Rhinolophus ferrumequinum: one gene and its partner. The protein of the gene in region 2 interacts with the protein of the main gene of each other region in a pairwise test. Links are inferred from orthologs where the notes say so. Each region holds a gene or a part of one and is shown on either strand. Other genes may lie near its edges.

The links.
Region 1: the proteins of EIF1AD (region 2) and GLYR1 interact in binary tests that used the Homo sapiens proteins (3 or more experiments, as listed by UniProt). The two-hybrid records come from large-scale screens. The link is inferred for Rhinolophus ferrumequinum from reciprocal best matches to the Homo sapiens genes EIF1AD and GLYR1.

What each region holds. Positions count from the first base shown.
Region 1 is NW_022680357.1:5,961,025-5,968,180, reverse strand, and holds the start of GLYR1 (cytokine-like nuclear factor N-PAC), read left to right. Parts: upstream 1-4,076; 5' UTR 4,077-4,150; coding exon 4,151-4,188; intron 4,189-5,215; coding exon 5,216-5,252; intron 5,253-6,193; coding exon 6,194-6,273; intron 6,274-7,156. UniProt on the Homo sapiens protein: Cytokine-like nuclear factor with chromatin gene reader activity involved in chromatin modification and regulation of gene expression. Acts as a nucleosome-destabilizing factor that is recruited to genes during transcriptional activation.
Region 2 is NC_046294.1:5,844,688-5,851,848, forward strand, and holds the start of EIF1AD (probable RNA-binding protein EIF1AD), read left to right. Parts: upstream 1-4,156; 5' UTR 4,157-4,298; intron 4,299-4,432; 5' UTR 4,433-4,557; intron 4,558-6,607; exon of another isoform or gene 6,608-6,715; 5' UTR 6,716-6,723; coding exon 6,724-6,810; intron 6,811-6,954; coding exon 6,955-7,063; intron 7,064-7,161. Other genes in the region: BANF1 (barrier-to-autointegration factor), read right to left, coding at 2,413-2,559, 2,803-2,925.

The sequences.
Region 1 (7,156 bases), on a different chromosome or scaffold from region 2:
CTTGCACTATCAACAACAAAGATGTTTTGTATGCCATATTGTGTAACATTTTGTAATAAATTTTTATGTCATCAATGCCATTAGATTCTAATATATCTATACTTATATCTAATTGATACCACTTAGTATGCTTTGAGTGGTTTTTGCTAAAATTAAAGGTAATGATAAATTTATCACCACATAATAAATGTTTAAAATAAAAATGTCATTTATGTACAAAGCAGCTCAAAATGTTATTAAATGCATAAAATAGTCAAAATATCAACTTTTTATTTTTTGTGGATTTTTGACACATTTTGGGGAAAAAAACCTTGAAATCAATTAACACAGTGAGAGTTAAGGTCTATTTCTGAAATCCATCCTATCATATTGATGTAGTAGCTAAACATTCCTTAACCAGTACCATATTGTTTTAAGAAATTTTATGGTATATTTTAACATCTTGATTTTAACATTCATCTTTATTCTTCTTCTTTTAAAATACTTGGCTATTCCAGCCTATTTATTATTTCAGATCAATTTTAGAATCAGTTTGACAAGTTCCCAAAAAACTCACTGCATTTTAACTGTAAATGAATCATAAATATGAATTCAAAAAGATTTATATCATATATTCCCATACATATATAAAGATATTTATATAGTACACGCAATTCTCATTCTTTCCATTGTGACGATAAACTGTGATCTATAATACCAGACAAAGGAGTAAAATATCTAAAAATAGTTAAAATAATGCTAATGAGGCAGCAAAGTGATTAGCAGCAAAACAGGTTGGTGGTGCAAAAGACCATCGGGCATTAAGACGTTGAAAGAAATTCCTCTAAAGGAAACTTTCGAGGCCCCCAGGACATTTGTGATACACTTGGGTTGTGAAAATAAATTTCAGCTAAAGGTTGAAGGCTTGAAAGTTACCCTCATCGATAAGACAGGCAAAGTCTCACTATAAAAAGAGAATCTGCAAGTAACCGATGGGATACAGGAAGGTCATCCTAGAAGTGACAACCAGGTTCCTGCCCCAATCCAGGCAGTAATTTTAAAATATACCCTTATCCTGGCCCAAATTTTACACTTGATCTTAGCCAAAAGGCCAAGAAACGACCTGGCCCAAATTTTAGACATTGTAACTTCAATCCACCTAGATAGTAAAACTGCTTCCCTTAGTTGTTTAAGTGACTTTGCAGGCCTGAGAAGTTATAGATATAATACTAGAGAATCATGTAAGTCAAACCTATAGCCTTTTAGATTTTTAGTCATCGTGATAACTGCTATTGCTTGTTACTAGGCCATTAGAAACGTTTAAGAGATTCAGACATATTAATGTCTGACGTCAGACTTACAATTTTAATTTGAAATCCTTAAGAAAATATAACTAGGTTCAAAAATATTCTTTTAAAAGAATCTTACCATTATACATTTATTAGCCTTACAAAAGCTAAGTCCTTGGAAAGATTTTACTATTTGGTTTATAAGTTCCCTGTTTTAGAAGTTTGAAGTATTAGAGAGAACAAGCATTTAAAACTTCAAATGCAATTTAACACATTTAAGGGAATTTAACTTTGTAATAAAAAGCTTATTGTTTAGGAAAATTTAATCTGTTAAACTGGTGCCTTAATTGAAGCTCTGTCAAAGATGAAGTACTTCTGTTTTTACAAAAACATTCTTAGATTTGTAAATGAAACAAGATTTGTCAGCAAAATTTAAAGCCTTAAGAAAACCTAAGGGGGCGCCCTGATGGCTCAGTTGGTTAGAGCAGGAGCTCTTAACAAGGTTGCCAGTTCAATTCCCACAGAGGAATGGTGAGCTGTGCCCCTGCAACTAAAGATTGAAAACAGCGACTGGACTTGGAGCTGACCTGCGCCCTCCACAACTTGACTGAAGAACAACGACTTGACTTGCAGCTGATGGGCCCTGGAAAAATACAGTTCCCCAATATTAAAAAAAAAAAAAATTATTGAAAAAAAGAAAACCTAAGTATTTAAATACAGGCATACCTCAGAGATACTGCAGGTTCCGTTCCAGACAACCGCAATAAAGCAAGTCGTAATCTTTTTGCTGGTGGAGGGTCTTGCCTTCAATTTGTAAAAAACGCAACATCTGTGAAGGGCAACAAAGTTAAGTGCAATAAAGCGAGGTATGCCTGTACTCACCTTTAAGGAGTTAAACCTTATTCTAAGCACAGTATTCTACAAACAACATCCCTTTTAAAAACCCTCAATTGATATTACCCAAGAAATGCTAGCTTCTTTTTGTATCTCAGATTATTCCCAGGAATGATATATTTTTTTGTTGAACGTCCTCTCAATTACTGTATTTTCAAGCTAATTATTGGTGAAACATAGAAAAACTGAATTTTGTATGCTGAGTTTCTAATTAGTTTCTTTACTGAATTTCAAAATAGGCTTTTTTTCAAAATAGGCTGTCCTATCATCCACAGAAATGAGAATTTTGTCTCCTTTCTGAAAAATGGTGTCTCGTTTTTGTTTCAGGTCTTACTGCATTGGCTAGAACTTACAGGATAATATTAGACAATATATTCTTTGCCATGTTCCTGACTGTAACGGGAATGCCTCTAGGCCAAGTGTGAAGTTAATTTAAAATTCACATTTTTTATCAAGTCATTAAAATAACCCTCAATCCTCAAAATTTAAGAGTTTTAAAATCAGAAACATATGTTGAATTTTATGAAATTATTTCCTGGAATCACAAATGTGCTTTAAATTATCGGTTGGTCTTTGAAACAATTCAAGACGGTAAATGACAGTTCCTAAAACTGACAGTACTTTAGGGAAACTGAATTCCAGTGAAAAACCAGCTGTGGACAAGCCAGTTCGCTAAAACAAAAACAAAAATATCCCACATACAACCAAAGTCTCCGTGTAACAAAACGCCTAAGGGAGATAGATGTGTGTGGACCTGCAATCTTTTCAAGCAGGCGGCGACTCAAGAAAAGTCCAGTCTAAGTTAAGTCAACACTTGACTTAAGAGTCCTTGAGGTCTGTAATTGGGAATGGGACTTTTTGAAAATGTTTATTTTCTAGCAGGAATCTGACGTTTGGGCAGTCTCTGTGAACGGTTCCTAGTTCCTCATTCAACGGCTTGTTTTCACGTATTGAAACTACGCCTGGCATCCGCCTCCCTGTTGTCACAACAACCTGCTCCTAACTTCTCCAAAAGTGTCAAACTACAACTCGGCTTAAGTGAGAGCCCGGTCCCGACAAAGACACGCACCTTTGTCCCCAGCGCGACGCAAGCTACGGCCCCGCGGGCCGCACTTGTCCCCCCGCGACCGTCCTCATGCCGGCCCGGGAGCCCGGGCTGCGGCGCTGCTAGCGGCCGGTCCCGGAGCCATGCCTCCCGGCGGGCGGCCAACCCGCGCCGCGGCCCATGGCTGGGTCCCCGCGGGCCCGGGGGAGCCTCGCTGGCCGTGCCGTCTGCCGGCCCAGGAGGAAGTGGAGAGACTCTGGCTCCACGTCGGCCGATCAACTCGGAACCTCGAGGCGGGCTGCACTGGCGCCCCGGGAGAACTTGAAGCGCGGACACGGGCTCCGGCTCGGAGCCGCTCCCCGGACGCAGCTGGCAAAAAGCGCGCTCTGAAGGACCCGTTCGCCCCCGGGCGCGGCCACGCAGAGCCCGCCGGGCGCGGGACCCCGGGTGCGGGGCCCCGGGCACGGGCGGAGGCTGGCTTCCAGGCCGCGCCGAGGTCCGTCAGGGTAGCTGCCCGCGAGGCGACGCGGCCGGCCCCGGGGCCCGCGCGGGACTAACGGCCGTAACGGAAGCGCCGTGGGGGAGGGGAATGGAGACCAGGGTCCGGAGGCGGGGCGGGTCGCAGGGTCGGCTCCTTTGCGCGCTGGACCGGCCGCACAGCCGCCGTCGCCGCCGCCTCAGATCCCGGGCGCTTCGTTGTCACGAGCCGAAGGGAGGGGAAAGGAGCCGGGAGTCTTTCGGCTCCAGCGCGCGGAGACCGCGGCTCCCGCGTCACGTGCCGCCTAGCCGGCCAATAAGCACCGGCGGGCGTGGCGACGTCAGAGCAGCGGCGTGGCCGATGACAGCCGGCCCCCGTCACGTGGCCGGACTCAACCCAATGGGCGGCGCCGGGGCGACCTGAAGTTCCCGGCGGCCTGTGCGTCGGTGGTGGTTGGGTGGTAAGATGGCGGCTGTGAGTCTGCGGCTCGGCGATTTGGTGTGGTGAGTCCGGGCGTCCGGGGCCAAGCGAGGTGCGACGGGAAACTGCTCCTTTGGGCGCGGGGTTGGCGGACAGCCCCGGAGCTGCCTTTCTGGGCGCTCCAGGCCGCGGAGAGAGGGCGAGACGAGGTGCCGGTGCTGGGAGCGACGCCGGGCGGAAGGGGCAGCCCTGCCCCGGGGGACTGAGGCCGAGGGTGGCCGCGGCGGGCCGGGCTCCGAGGCCGCCCGGGAGAGAGCTGAGCTCCGGACCCGGACGCCGACGGCTACTGTGAGGGGCATTTCTGGAGCCACCCGCGGTGCGGGTTCCTCGGGGTCTTGCTGGGGTTCCCTGTAAAGCGGGGGAGCCCTCAAGGCCATCTCGCCCCGGCAAGCCCGTTAAAACCAGCGTTGCAATGGAACCGAACTCTGCGGGCGGCTTGGCCAAGGGTGTCGAAACCGGACTGATGGCGCTGCCCGGTGAAGAAATGGAGAGGAGACTTCTTCTTTACAACCGAAGGCTTGGCAGTGATCAGTGCCGTTTTGGGTGCCTCTTGTGGTCTTCTTCTGTGTCCCAGACAACCGCCCGAACCAAGACTGACTGTCGCCGCCTCGGTCGAGCTGCGTAGCTTATTTCTCGACCCAGAGGAAGGCTTCCATTAGCATTTGGCAAAGCCAGCTGGTCTCGCGGTGAATTAAACCAGACTTTGTAAGGGGAAGTCTGTGTTTACAGAGCAAACTGGCCCCCACCCCCGTCACGGGGAGGCTCTAGACAAGTGGCTCTTGGCGGTTTTGTTGTTCTGTATCCCTTGTCACCAGAAGAATGTACATACTTTATGCACATAGGTATACAATTTTGCATTCCATTTCTGAGGAGTTTGGGCCTGTTGAGTCCAACTGGGGAAGCCAGATTAAGAACTCCTGTGTGCCAGCTTTTGTTCTGGCACTTGAGGATGCAAGTGGAGATTTAGGAAAATAAATTGCATGTTGAGTGGGTTGAAGAAGATGGACTGGCTTTTCCAGGGCAAGTGCTGACTCTCTGTGTTTTCTCTAGGGGGAAACTCGGCAGGTATCCTCCTTGGCCAGGAAAGGTGAGTCTCTTGCTACTGAACTAAAGGAAGACATCTGAAGTTGGGTTTGAACAGGTGGAGAATGTAAGATGCATTCCCTTCAATTTCTAGCATTGAGTTAAACTGCCTATTTTAAGTAACAGAATTTTTTCTTCTGGAACATCAGTTCATTTAGAAAAGGCAATATAATATAAACCAGATCACTTAATCTTCATTAAATGCTTATTTCTTGAATCAGAGATGGTTTTGTGGAGGTTTTTAACCCTGGAAATCAATTCTAATTTGAATTTAGCTTTACACTTAAATCTAACGAAAGGAGAAGAAAATAAATTCTCCAGGAAGATAGAAATCTAAATGTAGACTAGTGAAAAGTCAAAGTATTTTTGTCCCAACTAAGTTTAAATCTTCTATGTTACCATATGTGCTGCTCCAGTGCATCTTTGCAGAAGTTGGCATTTCAAATTTTGCATGAGGCGATCCGTCATAGCTTTCCAAATGTTCTGTTTTTATATTCTTGCTAGGAGCCCAGGAAATGTCTTTAGACTGTCTCCTTGCAATATGGTATTTTCAGTGCTTCAGTTGCCTTTCCTTGTCACTATTACCTGTCTCAACTCTTCCTTCACAGAAGTATTTTTAAAAGTGTCCTCTACATTTCTTCAGTGATGACAGGGTCACATGGGATGAGGGGATGATATTTGTCTTAGTTTTAACTGCTTTTAAAACAGGGGCATTGCAGTAAAGGAATACCGTATCTACTGAACGATGTGCCACATGTTAGATGTAGAGAACTTTGGAATATTTGTACATCTCCACACATCTCAGTAGAAAAGTGCCAAATTTGGATACATACTAGGCGCTCGGTTTTTTTCTTTTTAAGACATTTCTTTTGTTTTATTTGATTTTTTTTTTCTTACCAACTTAGAATGGTGGGAAAAAACCTTTTTTTCCCTTTTATCCCCCAGATTGTTAATCCACCCAAGGACTTGAAGAAACCTCGTGGAAAGAAGTGCTTCTTTGTGAAGTTTTTTGGAACAGAGGATCAGTGAGTAGTGCTCACCAAGAGTTTCGCTTTCCCTTTGTTTAGGCATTGGCCTGGGTCTGAGCTGCTCTGAGAGTATTCTGTGGACCCTAGTTCAGTCCTACTAGGTAGTCTATAAAATGGCATCATTCTGGCTTCATACCTAAAGAAAAGGTGCTATTCTTACCTTGCAGAAATTGTCCTGGGGCCAATAACAGTGTCAGTCAGGTGAGAACTAGGGCTCACCACCTTCTAAATATAATAATCACATTGAGAGTTTCTCACACCTCTCTTGCCAACTCCATAGGCAGTTCCTCCTATAGGACCAATTTGGTTTCCCATTTAATGGCTGTTTATCAGTGTGGCTCATGCATGAGCTAGACAGTGAAAACTAAAATTTTATTTACCTTAATAAAAGTAATTGTTTAATCTGTTTTCTTTTGGGAAACTAAATGACTTGCTTTAATGTTGTAACATTTAGCTAGCCCTGTCCTAGAGTTGAAATCAGAATCGTTAATATGAGATTCTTTGATAGGCCATATAAGAAATCACAGTGTGGGGAAGAAGGTATTTGCTTGAGATTCTGATGATTTGTTTCGCGTTCCCATCACTACATCAAGTTGATTACCTAGTTCTAGCTAGATGGTTTGATTTCTTTAAGTAGTTGTATTTCTGTTTATGATTCTTACAGGAAAATGTAATTTTGGGTTAGGAAAATGTGACTTTTCTGATAAAGCTAATACCAATAGTTAAAATACACATTCCTAGAAAGTGATATATAATATCCATAGGAAAATCTCATAAACTGTTCTTCACTCACTCAGGAGTTTATGTGTCAGGGTGCTTACTCATCTTGGTTTAGAGTTTGCCTAGCCCCATACAGATGTACTGATATACCCAGGCCCAG
Region 2 (7,161 bases):
ACATAGGTAGGCCTGAAACTCCTGGGACAGTCTGCATTACCATCTCGGTCTGGGCTGCAGACTGGCACCCTCCCAGGAGGTGGCCTGTAACACAAGCCGGGCCCTGCTCTGGCTACCTGGTGCCCTTCCAAGGGAGCCACTCAACTTCCCAGACCCAACCTTGCTCGGAACCCTCATCTGTACTAATAACCACCATAGTTTCCAGTTACTCGTATAATCGCTCTATACCCAGGTCTTTACTTTGGTTTCCCTTTTATCTTCCTTCTTCTATTGAGACGGAGCTAACGTCAAGTACACAGAACACTTCTGTTCCCTTTATCAGTTGACACCTGTACTACCACCACACAGGTCAAGAAATGGAAACTGCCACTCCCGCCCCCAGGCTGTCCTGCTCACCATACCCACGTCCCACTCCCAAAGGCAATCATTGTTGACATTTGCAATAACCCATTTCCTTGCTCTTTCTCGTTTTACCACCTATCTAGAGATCCCTAAGCAACAACTGACCTGACTTTACGTGTATATTTTGATGTTTGCTCAGTATTGAGTGTCACCTTTGTCCCACAGCTGTTGTGAATTCATTTCCCCGGGTACTGACAGCCATCAGAGCTCTTCCAGTTGGGGCTGTTAGAAAAAAAGCAGCTCTGAAGGCTCCCGTCGGTGCTGGAGCAGGTGTGCGAGTGTCCTCGGTCATAGCTCCAGGGCAGTGGAATAGCTGGCTCACAGGGTGGGTGTTCAGTTATAGAAAACACCCAACTGTTTTTCCCAAGTGTTTAGACCAATCGCCATTCCCACCAGCTGGGTATCAGTTCCTGTTGCTCCATTTCCTCATCACTTGGTATTGTCTGGCTTAAAATTTCTGCCAATCCAGTGAGTGTATAATAACACCTCATTTGCATTTCTGATTACTAATGTAATTGTTTTGTTTGCTTTTCTTCACTGCAGTTATGTTATATACTCTGGATATAGTACCTTGTCACGTATGTGTTACAAATATCCTTTCCCACTCTCAGTCAGTTTTGTCTGTCACTCTCTTTATGGTATCTTTAGATGGAGTTTCTACTAATGGAGTTAAATGTATCAACTTTTTCTTCTTAATTTTTCCCTACCCTGAAGTCAGGAAAATCTTCTCCTGTTACCCCAATGTTTGTATTTAATGTGTGTCGGTCTGTCCTCACCAGACTGGGAGCCCTCTGAGGAACGCCCTTTACGCAGCAGTTCCTCAGCGAGGCCCCACTCAAAAGACTGAAAGCCAAGCAGGGCTGGGTGCTGCACAGTTAGCATTTCATCTGATCCTTACAACCATCTCATTTTCCAAGTGGGGAAACTGAGGCTCAGAGAGGCTGAAGGATATGACCAAAGAACACAGGGCTCTCAGGTATATGGGCTTCTAAGTTATTTTGAGAGCCAATGGGGGCACTTCCTAGCAGAAAGTCCAGTCTCTCTGAGTCCCTGGTTTCCTCACCTGTAAAAGAGAAAACAATTCTTTACTGTGGAAGAAAAAAATATTGATAAAGATCTTAGCTGTGGGGCTGGTTCACTAAGCGTGCAATCAAAAATAGGATGAAAATGTACCAGATAAAAGTGTAACTCGCCCTCAGCTGTGATCCCATGCTCTCTCTGCCTCCCAGACCGCAAGAGCCCTGCCCACTCCTCCCAAAGGCCAGGAAAGCACATGATGATTAGCAGGTGAACTTTTACCCACATTCCGTCCCCCTCTTCCTGGTACCTCTGACTCCCACTTCCTTTTCCACCAGGTGCCGGCTAGCTCAGCTACTGACTCAGCTGACATCGGGAATGGCACAGCACACCTGGATCCCAGGAAGGGACCAACCCACACTCTCTCCCATGTTACTACGGGATTGAGGCACTCTTGAGGCACCTGCCTGAGGCTTATGTGGCTAGGGTGGCTGCCCTCCGGTGTACGGAGGAAGCTGCCAGTTTCGACTGGCACTGATAAGGAGTGTGACAGACCTGATCAGCCCCTGGGGAAGAGGCGACTCCCAGCCCATCTGTTTTTCAACGCACAAAACCCAGTCCTGAAGGCCACTAACTTTATTGATTTAAAAAACTTTGTAAGGACAACGACTATTCTGCCAAAAGAGAAGCCAAATGGCATAAAACAGACCGGCGAGGAGGGTGTGGGTGAGGGAAGGGGCCAGGAATCCACTCAGAAAAGCTGGTAATTATCAACATGAAATTGGCAGGGGAGAGAAGAGAGATGCATGCAAAACGAAGAACTTCTGAAAAAGTTGAAATGGTAAGGGGAGAGAACTCCCTGAAGACCCTGGATGACACTGCAGGCTGAGCAGACATCAATCCTTTGTACAGGGCAGGGGAGGAGCCCCCACTCGGCTGCAAACTCTGGAGACTCAAGGCTGGGGCTAGGGACTGGGGGCTCCCCAGAGTGCATCACAAGAAGGCATCGCACCACTCTCGGAGGCACCCGAAGCAGTCCCGGGACTGCTTGGCATTGGCGCCACACGTGTCCTTTAGCCATTCCCGGAAGAGGTCTTCATCTTTCTTAAGCACCAGAAACTGGCCAAGGACCACATACGCCTGCAAAACAGGCAAAATAAAAGGCATGCTATTCAGTGCCCTGTGGGACTAAGAACAAGGCCACTCCTGTGGCATTCAGAGCACATGAGCCTAGGAGGCAGGGCAGGCTCTGGCTACCTCTTCAGATTATATACCACGGTCCTCCCCCACCAGATACACTCACTTTCCTCGCTCCCAAACTGCCAGGCAATACTGTAGTCTGCCACCCCCAGCCCTCCCCAGCTGCATGCAGCCTCCGCACACCTTGTCAAAGCCCCTTTCCTCCAGCTTCTTGCCCAGGACTTCACCAATCCCGGCCAGGCTCCCCACTGGCTTTTCCCCCATGGGCTCTGCCACGAAGTCTCGATGCTTTTGGGATGTTGTCATCTTGATCAGGATTTATCTACGAATCCCAAGAAAAGGTAGGTTAGGACTGAAAACCCGGGAACTCCCAAAGGCCCACTGGCAATATCATATTTAAAGGAAGCTAGACCAGCGATTATGGTGGGTTATTCGATTCCCCTCATTTCACGGATGAGAAAACTGAGGTCCAAGGCAAGTTTTTCCCACTACTCAAGAGAGAAATCTCTCTCACTCCCTGCGGGAACGGGGTTTTGGTATTGCCCCAGAGGAAAGACTATCCTGCCCTATCAGGTGGCGCAGGCCGGTCAGTAGCCAGAACTCGCCCTGAAGGTGTCACTCCCTCTGTGACCTTGGCTGGGCAAAGGAGGTACTGACTCTGCCTGGAAGGGCTATCCAGCCAGAAAAGCAAACAAAGGGTCCCCCTGCCCCACCCGCCCCAATTGGCTGCTCAGAGAGCACAGGCACGGGCCAGAGCGCACACCCCAGCTCAGTGCCCCAGCCCCACCAGGTTCACGTCTGGGCTCCCGCCGCGCCTCGAAGGCCCCGCCCCCGAGACGCGTCGCCCCGCCTCCTCCACGCGCCGCCGCGCCCGCGCGCCGCGTCCCGCCCCTCCTCGCCGGGCCGCCAAGCCCTCTCCGAGGGCGCATTCTCTGGCTGGCCGTGGCGCTTACGGCTTCCCTCCTTCTCGCGCCTCCTCTGCCTCCAGTCCAAGCCCTGCTGTGCAGCGCGCGCTCACCGGCAGCTTCAGCTCCCGTAACGGATACTCCTACCGCCCGGCTGCTCCCGCCGATACCTCAACTCACTAGAACGTTCTTCTACTTCCGCTTCCGGGTCGCCTCAAGAGCCACTTAAAAAATGTGGCACTTCTAGCCACTCAGAGCCATAGAGATGAGGCTCCCTGGACCTCACGGCGGCCTTAGAAGGGGCTCCTTTCCGGTCGCTTCGCGGGAAACCGGGCTGCCTTCTATTGTCTCGCTTCTCCAGAAGTACTTCCGGTCTCAAGGAGCAGAGGCTTCGGTGGAGAAAACTTTATTTCCCCGCTGCACGGCATCCGGAACTCAAGGACTTAGCCTTTGGCGATCTGGGGGTGGGAAGAGTTAAAGGAACGGACAAGGAGGGAGGAGCGTGGCCGAAGGCTTCCGAGAGGCCGCCGGAAGTACCGTACTCGGAAGGGTCCGACTCAGGCCGATTCGTGTCGCCCTCACCGCTGTGGGACTTGTACGAGTCCGGCAGGAGCTGGAGACTCCGGAGATCTGTGTCCAAGTTGACGCTACCGTCGTGATCGCCGGCAAGTTCCTTTTCTACGAAGTGAGTCGTGGACGAGCCGCTCCCAGCGAGCGTCCAGCCTGAAGAACGGAATCGTTCAAGCAACGCCTTTGGGAGAAGAGGGCCAGAAAGTAAGTGTGGGGTCTGTGCGCGTCTTACCTCCGGGATAGGGAGGGAGGAGGGCAGGAAAAGGCAACCTGAGGTGACACGCGGAGTTTCCTTTAGAAACCACCAGTCTTGGTGGTGCCAATTCTTGTTTTCTCAGAACCCGTCAGAAACATAGCAGATGCCGCAGACCACGCCGGCTTTCCTCGACCTTTAATGAACTCGTTCCTGGCTTGGACCATCTCGGTGGTCTCCAAACTGGTCTCTTGTCTGTAGTCTGTTGAAGTGAGTATCTGTGTTGTATGGCTGTGCTGTATTTGGGATGTACAAGCATATTGAGGAAGATAGTTTATCTCACACTCCTCCGTGAACGGTTGCCAGAGTGATTTATTTAGTTTTTATGTTATGCCAGTACTTAAGACAACATGACTTATTTTTATCTGCCGTACACTGTGCTAAGTGCGTTGCTCACATCATTGCATCGTAATGACAATGTTCTGGGTTAGCTGTTATTTTTCTTTGTGGCTTGGGAAAGTTAAACAGTAAGGAATGTCAATGTAAGAACGTCCAAACCCATAGTTACCGGAGGGTGTCCAGGTTCTTGGCATCTGGAACAAAGAATTGAACGAGATACCGTGATCAAGTGGTGGAAAAGCAATTTATTAGAAGAGATAGTACTCTCCAAGGAAATAGAAGCGGGCCGAGCAGAAAGCAGTGGCTCAAGGACCATTAAGAAAAGGGATAGTACACTCCAAAGAGTGTGGAGCGGGCTGAGCAAAAGAAGAGACTCAAAAAAGGACCCCGGCTCAAAGGCCCAAAGGGCTAAGGGCCCAGGATCAAAAAGGGCCTGACTGGGAGGACTTGGAGTTTTTATCCTTTTTTCCCTCTAGAATGGGCAGTTCCTTTGCGGGAGTGGGACCACTTGATTGACACCTGTGATTGACAAGAGGCTATTACCTCATCTTTTTAGACTGTGCATGTTCTTTCCCAGAATTCAGTCTGTTATAATGATATTAATGAACTCCCAGGCGTATGTATGATATTATAATGATGGGATAATGAGGCCCAGGTGAAATTGTGGTCTTTGCTGCTCAGGAGTGAGGGGCTGGTTTAATCTAGTTGGGTATTTTGTACCCATTTGTTCCTCATAGGCGCAGATAATTACAATGAAAAGGGGAAGTTTTGGGCGGAGAGGGGAGGTCTTCTGGGCAGTCGCATTCTGTTCAGGGATGCAGAGACCTGATGCCTAGCTCTAACTGCGTGCCTTGTTTTCCCCTTGAGAGACATGATCCCCATAAAAACTCTATGGGAAGTTGAGGGACAGAAGGTCTTTTTTTCTGTATCTGCTTCCTGCTGGACGGGGGCGAAGATCTGTCCCTACCTATTGGGGGATTCACGGAACTCTCGCCCTGTCTGATCTCAGGTGAGAGGAAGGGGTCTCGGGACCTGCCTGGAAGACCATGTTGGCTTCTTTGGTTGCGACTGGCAATCTTGCTGGGGTATCCTCTGTATCCCCAAAGCCCCTGAATGAGGAAAAATAGATTTTAATTAATAAATCCATTAGCACTATGGAGCCTGTGGCCATTCAACCATTTAGGTGGCATCAGTTGTCCAGGAGCTGGGCCCAGAATGGGTTGAAAAGAACCTTAGGCTTCACTGATTACAATTAACAAGTATACTGGCCTGGGGGGTCTGGAATGGCTTGGAGGATGTTGGGAAGTCATAGGCTTTTAAGAGACATTCTCTGATTCAGGCGAGGAGCACTCTTTAGTCTAGGATTCAAAAACTGATCAGAAGAGTAATCAAAACCCGGGGCTAAGGAGCTAAGAAACTAGGGAAAAGGAGACTTAAAATTTCTGTAGTGAGGGGCTCTCCCATATCACCATGGAGAATTTTTATAAGAGTTTGAGCCAAACCGATGACCTATGCTAGCAAGCAAGATCTAAAATGCTCTGGAGAATAATAGTTTTGCAGTTTGTTTTATGCCTTAGAAAGTAAGGAGGAGGGGTCTAAGGAAGATGACTTGAGGATGGGAGAAAGCAGGGCAGGGATTGGGTTGCAGAGTAGTTAATAAGATTATGTGCTATCTTTGAGGGTGGTCGTGCTTTAGAGGGGTATTACTTGGCTGGCTTAAAAACCTTTGACTAAAGAAGTTATATGCCTGGGGTGTGACCACCCATCATGACCTGCTCATTTCTGAATTTATGATCAGGTTACTCTGTTTCCATGGAACCCCTTTTTTTCGTCCACAGGAAATAGTCAAGGTAGGATTTCAGTTCAAGCAATTAGATGTTAGAGCCCACGTTCTTAACCAGGACACTGTGTCACTCCCCAGTAAAAAGTCCCTCCCCATCTTCAAAACAGTCCTGGGTTCTGAACCTGCCATCCAAGAAACTCAGGAGCAGGAGTTGACAGCCTCTGCGTCCCTCACCTCCCGGAACAGGACCCAACATGTCTCGGGCCACCAAGAGGAAGCACGTGGTGAAGGAGGTGCAGGGGGAGCACATGGTACCCTCCGAGAAGCAGCAGATCGTGAGGGTGAGTAGCATTGGGCACAAGCTACTCCGTCCCCCACCCCTCCACTCCCGTTGGGCCCTGGGGTGGGGGAAGAGTGCAGGGTGGCGCAGGGGGTCTTTGAGCTAGCTGATGAGGCCGACTGGTTCTTGGTCTCTCCTGGACCAGGTACTCAGAACCCCAGGGAACAATCTGCACGAGGTGGAGACAGCCCAGGGGCAGTGCTTCCTGGTGAGCATGCCCTCCAAATACCGCAAGAACATCTGGATCAAGAGAGGTGAGAGAGCCGTCTAAGACACAGAACCACTTCCAGTGACCTTGGCTTCCCCCAGTGCAAGCTGAACTGACTCGACCTTTTCTCCTCTCTACCTACAG